Linked DNA regions of Macaca mulatta. The protein of the gene in region 1 binds, or shares a complex with, the protein of each later gene. Links are inferred from orthologs where the notes say so. Each region holds a gene or a part of one and is shown in the gene's direction. Other genes may lie near its edges. The genes, in order: ITGAM and PTN.

Region 1 (4,309 bases):
ACTACTAAGTTTTGGAGTAACTCACTCTGCAGCAATAGATACTGGAACATACCTGTAATCCTTCCATCTTGGAGATAACGACTATTAACATTTGGTTCTCCTGCATATATATATGATTTATTTTTGTATGTATGTACTTATTTATTTAATTTTAATTTTTTATTTTTTGAAATTGAGTCAAGCTGTATTGCCCAGGCTGGAGTGCAATGGTGTAATCTCAGCTCACTGCAACCTCCGCCTCCCAGGTTCAAGAGATTCTCCTGCCTCAGCCTCCCAAGTAACTAGGATTACGGGTGCCCGCCACCACACCTGGCTAATTTTTGTATTTTTAGTAGAGATGGGGTTTCACCATGTTGGGCAGGCTGGTCTTGAACTCCTGACCTCCGGTGATCCTCCCACCTCGGCCTCCCAAAGTGCTGGTATTACAGGCGTGAGCCACCACGCCCTGCCTATATATATTTAGAGACACGGTCTGGTTCTGTTTTCCAGGCTGGAGTGCAGTGGTGCAATCATAGCTCACTGCAGCCTTGACCTCCTTGGCTCAAGCGATCCTCCCACCTCAGCCTCTTGACCACATTAGCTGGGACCACAGGTTGCACCATTACGCCCAGCTAATTTTTTTTTGAGACGGAGTCTCGCTCTGCCACCCAGGCTGGAGTACAGTGGCCGGATCTCAGCTCACTGCAAGCTCCGCCTCCCGGGTTTAAGCCATTCTCCTGCCTCAGCCTCCCGAGTAGCTGGAACTATAGGCGCCTGCCACCTCGCCCGGCTAGTTTTTTTATTTTTGTTTTTAGTAGAGACGGGGTTTCATCGTGTTAGCCAGGATGGTCTCAATCTCCTGACCTCGTGATCCGCCCGTCTCGGCCTCCCAAAGTGCTGGGATTATAGGCTTGAGCCACCGCGCCTGGCCTCGCCCAGCTAATTTTTAAAATTTTTTTGTAAAGTCAGGGTCTTGCTGTGTTGCCCAGGCTGGTCTTGACTTCCTGAGCTCAAATGATCCTCCTGCCTTGGCCTCCCAAAGTGCTGAGCTTACAAGCAGGAGTTATCATACCTGGCTAGATATAAAAATTATAAACAGATAATTTTAAACCAAATGTACATAATTTTAATTGCTTTTTTTTTTTTCCCCAGCCAGCAAGCATTTTTTTCCATCTAGTTATCAGGAAAGTAGAATTAGAGGCAAAAGAAAATGTGTTGAATGGTGAAACCCTGTCTCTACTGAAAATACAAAAAATTAGCTGGGCGTGGTGGCACACGCCTGTAATCCCAGCTACTCGGGAGGCTGAGGCAGGAGAATCACTTGAACCCGGGAGGCAGAGGTTGCAGTGAGCCGAGATCACACCACTGCACTCCAGCCTGGGTGACAGAGGAAGACTCTGTCTCAAAAAAAAAAAAAAAAAGGTGTTGAGAAAGAGTGAAAAAAATCGTTGGCTTGAGATTCACATTGGCGGTCACATAAAGGTGAGGTTTGTGTTCCGTGTGTGTGGAAGGATACCTATTTTCTTGTGCCTTCGAAAACAGAATTAAAAGTGACAGACACAGGGGAGGGTAAGGATAGATGACAGAGTGAAGTATCATTGAACCATTCCTCTGTTGTTGAATATTCAGGTCTTTTTTTTTTTAGCCTTTCACTATTAACAATAATGCCGCAATGAACAAGCTTGCATATATATATATATATTTCTTTTTTTTTTTCTTTTTTGGAGATAGAGTCTTGCTCTGTCACCTAGGCTGGAGTGCAGTGGCACAATCTCTGCTTACTGCAACCTCTACCTCCAGGGTTCAAGCGATTCTCCTGCCTCAGCCTCCCAGGTGGGATTGTACGTGCCTGCCACCATGCCTGGCTAATTCTTTTGTCCTTTTTAGTAGAGATGAGGTTTCACCACGTTGGGCAGGCTGGTTTCAATTGCTGACCTCAAGTAATCCACCCGCCTTGGCCTCCCAAAATGCTAGGATTACAGGCATGAGCCACCGAGCCCAGCCAAGCTTGTACATATACTTTTGACTATACTTCTTAACTATTTCTTAGGATAAATTACTAGTAGTGAAAATTCTTGGGTGAAGAGCTTGAGGCCTTTAAAAAAAAACAAAAACAAAACACACACACACACACAAAATAAGCTGGATGCAGTGGCTCACACCTGTAATCTCAGCACTTTGAGAGGCTGAGGAAGGAGAATCACTTGAGTCCAGGAGGTTGAGAACAGCCTGAACAACATAGCAAGATCTTGTCTCTACAAAAAATTAAAAAAAAAAATTAGCTGGCCATGGCATGTACCTGTAGTTCCAGCTACTCAGAAGGCTGAGGTAGGAGGATCACTTGAGCCCAGGAGGTTAATTGAAGCTGCAGTGAGCTGTGATTATACCACTGCACTCCAGCCTGGGCAGCAGAGCTACACTCTGTCTCTGAAAAAAGCACAAAATAATACTTAAAAAGCACAAGGTGTGCCTGTACTTGAGTTGTCCTTGTATGGCTACAAATGAGGACTGCTCTGGCTGAAGGGCGCTCCCGTTTCCATGGGCTGAACGAGAGACATTTTGCAAAGTGTGTTTCCAGGAAGACACAGAGTTTGACCTCCTACACTTGTTTGATCGGTATTAATGTTTGCTTATTTATTTATTTATTTTGAGACAGGGTCTCACTGTGCCACCTGGGCTGGAATGCAGTGGCATTATTGGGGCTCACTGCGGTCTCAAACTCCTGGGCTCAAACAATCCTCCTGCCTGAGCCTCCTGAGTAGCTAGGACTACAGGCATGTGCCACCATGCCTGGCTAATTTTTTAAATGTATTTTTTTGGTAGAGACGGGGTCTCGCTCTGTTGCCCAGGCTGGAGTGCAGTGGTGTGATCATAGCTCACTGCAGCCTGGACCTCAGGCTCAAGTAATTCTCCCGCCTCAGCCTCTCGAGTAGCAGAGGATACAGGTGCGCACCACTGTGCCCAGCTAATTAAAAATATTTTTTTGTAGAGACAGGGTCTCTCTGTGTTGCCCAGGCTGGTTTCAAACTCCCAGGCTCAAGCAATCCTCTTGCCTTGGCCTCCCAAAGTGCTGGCATTAACAGGCATGAGCCACTGCGCCTGGCCCGTATTAATGTTTAGAACATGAATTCCAGGAGGCAGGCTAAGTCTGTTCAGCTTGTTCATATGCTTTGGCCAACCCAAGAAACGAGTATGTGACAAATGGCACCTTTTGGATAGTGGTAGTGACTTTGATGGTTTGAGCCAGGAAGCTGGGGAGGAAGGCTGGTCAGGCTGTGGGCAGTGCTGGGAGGATTGGGAGGAAGACCAGGCAGGGCTGTGTGGTCACTGAGCCTCCGCCCTCTTCCTTTGAATCTCTGATAGACTTCTGCCTCCTACTTCTCCTTTTCTGCCCTTCCTTGCTTTGGCAGCTTCCTTGGGGTTCCTCAGTGGCGCCTGCAACCCCCGGTTCACCTCCTTCCAGGTTCTGGCTCCTTCCAGCCATGGCTCTCAGAGTCCTTCTGTTAACAGGTGCATGGGGGTGGGGTGGGGGACTCTGGGTGAGGAGGAGGGGAACTTTTGGGTCTGTCATAAAGAGAGGGCCCAGAGTATGTAGGATTCAGTCTGGGGAGAGGCAAAGGGGATTGGGGAAGGAGAAAGGGTTCAAGAAGAAGCAGGGAGAACAGCTAGACCCAGACAGGCTGGCCAGGGAAGCCTGGATGAATGACCACATTCATGGACTGTGCAAGGCTGCTTGGTTGGTCCTTGCTTCACAGATGAGGAGACGGAGGCCCAGAGAGGAGAAGTGACATGGCCCAGGGTGCACAGCAAGTGTGAGACCCCCTTCCTGAGTACTTCCTCCTGGATCCCCTCTCACCATCTCCACTTTGCCTCCGGTTCCGTTTTCCAAGGACCCGGGTGCAAATGTTTGTTGAATGACTGATGAATCAAAACGATTTGAGTTTGTTTCCTTTTATGCTTGTATGTTGTGGAAAATGAAATTCTCCACAAAAGGGAAGGAAATGCTTGAGAGCTGCATAGGAAGGAAATTATCTAATTGAGAATGCATAGAAACTTCACTGTTGGGCAAATCATCATTGTGGTGACACTGGGGGAAGAGACCATTTGGGTGCTCAGAAGGGAGGCTGGAATTCAGAGCGGGACTGGACGTACCCCATGATGGTGGTTCTTAGGTCAGGAGTCAGCGAACAGTGGCCTGGGGGCCCGATATGGCCCACCACCTGTTTTTGCACAACCTGCCAGCCAGAGGTTGAAGATGAACACTGACAATCGATTTGATCATAGGGAGCACCACCCCCAAAGAATTCTATTTGTCCCATTCATAAACCTG
Region 2 (3,814 bases), on another chromosome or scaffold:
GCATGCCTTCAAAGTTCTTTTGCTTCCATAATTTCTGAGTCATACTTAGCAAATGGTTGTGAAGTCTTATGTGAAGAACTGTTGCATTTTGTCAGTGAATACGTGATTGATTGCAGAAGAGCACTTATTTCAATGGCTGTTGGTGAGAATAGATGAAATTCTACCCAAGATAATTGATATGAATCTTCCTGAAATCTAACATTCCAGAAATGGAAAGTGGAGCCTTTCATCAAGGGGTTCAATGAGTCTTCCTCTCTGACTTAGGTTAATGCCACCTTCTTCTCTTTCTCTGTTTATTCCTAGAATGCAGGCTCAACAGTACCAGCAGCAGCGTCAAAAATTTGCAGCTGCCTTCTTGGCATTCATTTTCATACTGGCAGCTGTGGATACTGCTGAAGCAGGGAAGAAAGAGAAACCAGGTAAGCAGTAGGGTTCTGAAGGCAAGATGCTTCATTGATTAATGTCCATCTAGCCTAATTACCTGCTTTTCCTTCATCTCTTCTACTCTGCCTCTCTCCCTTCCTATTCCTGTATTCCTTCAATCTTCCCTTTTTAAAAATAATTATTTAGAGGAACCTAAGAAATATCCTGTCTCCCATTGCAAGTCCTGGATTGCATGACGATGATGGTCTTTAATATAATGATCAAATTAGCAGCTACTATGTATAGAACATTGACCAGCAATCAGGTGCTTTATTATGTTACCTCTCTACCTCAAAAAAAAAAAATGCACTGCAACTTGTTTTTCTCCTTAATTTCAGATTTACAGAGGAGGAAACTGAGGCACAGAGAAGCTAAAGCACCTTCTCTACGCCACTCTCAAAGTCATAAGTAGGCTGTGGAACTGACAGTCTGTTTAAATCTGTGATCCACCATATATGTATGATGTCATTCCTTCTACAAGACAGAGAAAGGAACAATAACTTGCACTGAAATGGCTCATTTGACAACTGTTATTTCTTTCTTTTTTTTTTTTTGAGATGGAGTCTTGCTCTGCCACCAGGCTGGAGTGCAGTGGTGCAATCTCAACTCACTGTATCCTCCATCTCCCGCAATTCTCTTGCCTCAGCTTCCAAAGTAGCTGGGGCTACAGGCATGCACCACCACGCCCAGCTTATTTTTGTATTTTTAGTAGAGTTGGGGTTTCACTATGTTAGCCAGGATGGTCTCGATCTCTTGACCTTGTGATCTGCCTGCCTTAACCTCCCAAAGTGCTGGGATTACAGGCATGAGCCACTGGGCCCGGCTGACAACTGTCATTTCTAATAGAATATTTTCTCAATTTTTAGGCTTAACTATTTTTGATCATCTCTTCTTTTATAGAAATATTTGCTTCTAAAAGGAGATGCCACTAAGTCACTTAGCAAAGTCTCTGGCACATAGTAAGAGGGAGTTAAATTAATACTAGTTTTAGCTCTTTTCTCAGTTTTCTTTCTCTCTTCTCTTGATCATTCTTTGGTTCAATACTTTGGTTAATATTCGTCATATTTCTATTATTCACTGGACAATAAGGATAGAGATTAAAAAAAACACACAGATCCTACAATTAAGGTTCTCAGGAATGAACTTGGTTATATCTGGAAGTTAAGGAGTTTTCTGTATGTTGATTAGGTTTTCTTCCTTTCATTCAGAAAAAAAAGTGAAAAAGTCTGACTGTGGAGAATGGCAGTGGAGTGTGTGCGTGCCCACCAGTGGAGACTGTGGACTGGGCACGCGGGAAGGCACTCGGACTGGAGCCGAGTGCAAGCAAACCATGAAGACCCAGAGATGTAAGATCCCCTGCAACTGGAAGAAGCAATTTGGAGGTAAGCTTCATGCTACTGAGTTAATCTCCTACCCTAAGATAATTCTCAAATTTTTCCACCAAATGTCTTTTTAAGGATGAGTACTTTTTATTTTAAATAACTTTATCTTATCAGACACAAAGTGACCAGATATCTTTCCCAACCCCAGTGTTTCTCAACTTTGACACTGGTCCCATTTCAGGCCAGGCAATTCTTTGTTGTGGAGGTTGTCTTGTGCATTTTAGGGTATTTAGCAGCATCCCCGGCTTCTACTCACTAGTTTCCAGTAGGATTCCTCACCCACTCCAGATGTGAAAACTAAAAATGTCTCCAAATATCTATGGCCAAATGTCTCCTTGTGGTCAAAATCATCCCTGATTGGGAACCACTGCCTTTCCAAAGGGACATAAAATATATCCTTGATTCCTCCTAATAATGTTCGTTGATATATCTTCTCTCTCCTTTCTTCTATTTCTAAGTTCCTTTGATTTTTCCTTTCCCCTTTTCTTGTTTATTCCCCTTCTTCTCCATGTCCCTCCCTGTCACTTTCAGGCCTTCTCTCTCATTTGATCCCTCCCCACCCTCCACACAGGTTCACAGATTCACTTATTGAGTCCAGCAGGGCTGCTCACAGTCACTTTTCATAGATCTTTCTCCCACTGGCTAGAGTCAGTCTTATGCTGGCCTGATCTATCTATCTGAGACAGGATCTGTCAACACTTTCAACTTTATATCCAATATTGAACCCTCAAATAACCTCTTTCTTCCACGATCCAGACTTTTTGTCTTTGGGGACATGATTCCTGAAATGTCCTACCTGTGTTCTGTGGAAATGCACTGTGGCCCATAGACAAGTGAGGAAGAACAATGGATGTATACACGTACATCTTTTTCTCCCTCTGTAATCTTTGGGGTATTTTCTATTTGAATGGAGATAGATAAGTTCTATAAAAGCGTGATGGAGAACAGGTACATTTGGTCTTAAACTGTATCTGGGCACCTCAAAAACCTATTTTCAAAAAGTTTAAACGGTCTATCTTAAAGACTTATATTGAAAATATTAAATAACTCTCAAATTCAACAGTAAACAACAAAACAACAGCAACAAAAACAAAACAACAAAACAAAACAAACAAAACTTAACAGTTCAGTAAGAAAGTGGGGAAAAAACATTAACAGACCTTTTACCAAAGAGGATATATAGGCAACAAATGAATTCCTGAAAATGTATTCAACATCTTTTCCTTATTAGGGAACTAGAAATTGAAACCATAATGAGAGATCACTCTACATCTATAAAAGTGGCTAGAATAAAAAATAGTGACAAGACGAAATGCTAGTGAGGGTGCAGGGAAACCAGATCCCTTATATGTTGCCAGTGGAAATTGTAACGTGGTAAAGCCGCAGTGGAAAAAGAGTATTGCAGTTTTTTACAAAATGAAGCATGCATTTACCATGTAACACAGCAGTTTCTTGGTCATTTATCCCAGAGAAATGAAAACTTATGTTTCCACAAAAACCTATACATGAATTTATGCAGGAGTTTTATTTGTAATAACCCAAAGCTGGAAACAACTCGGATGTCCTTCAACTGATAAATGGTTAAACAAACCAGGGTACATTGGCACTGTAGAGTACTACTCAGCAATAGGAAGAAACAGACTATTGATGCACCCGACTTGGGTGGATCTTCAGGTAATTATGCTAAGTAAAAAAGAAAGCCGATCTCAGAAGTTTACATAGTGTAGAATTCCATTTATGCAACATTTTTCAGTTAGAAAAATGATAGAGCTAGAGAACAGATTAGGAGTTGCCAGGGATTAAGGAAGTGGGGAAGGAGGAAGGTGGCCAGGCCATGACTATAAAGAATGACCCAGTGTTGTGTTGGGACTGTATATTAGTGGTGTATATTAATGTATATTAATGGTGTATATTGATGGTGATTGCATGCATGTACACATGTGATAGAATTGAACAGAACTCAATACACACGCATACATTCTGTATTATTTCTTATAGCTGCACATGGA

What was found.
Region 2: the proteins of ITGAM (region 1) and PTN are in contact, whole or in part, in an NMR structure (PDB 8VOH), measured with the Homo sapiens proteins. The link is inferred for Macaca mulatta from reciprocal best matches to the Homo sapiens genes ITGAM and PTN. Residues at the interface, in NP_000623.2 of Homo sapiens: Pro273, Asp276, Arg277, Gly279, Val280, Ile281, Arg282, Tyr283, Lys306, Pro307, Arg309, Asp310, His311, Ala334, Ile335, Glu336, Gly337, Thr338, Gln339; in NP_001308315.1 of Homo sapiens: Val56, Pro57, Thr58, Ser59, Asp61, Cys62, Gly63, Leu64, Thr66, Glu68, Thr79, Lys81, Thr82, Gln83, Arg84.

The regions. Positions count from the first base shown.
Region 1 is NC_133425.1:29,918,697-29,923,005, forward strand, and holds the start of ITGAM (integrin alpha-M), read left to right. Parts: upstream 1-1,436; 5' UTR 1,437-1,461; intron 1,462-3,371; exon of another isoform or gene 3,372-3,389; 5' UTR 3,390-3,461; coding exon 3,462-3,489; intron 3,490-4,309.
Region 2 is NC_133408.1:177,081,824-177,085,637, reverse strand, and holds part of PTN (pleiotrophin precursor), read left to right. Parts: intron 1-303; 5' UTR 304-304; coding exon 305-419; intron 420-1,631; coding exon 1,632-1,805; intron 1,806-3,814.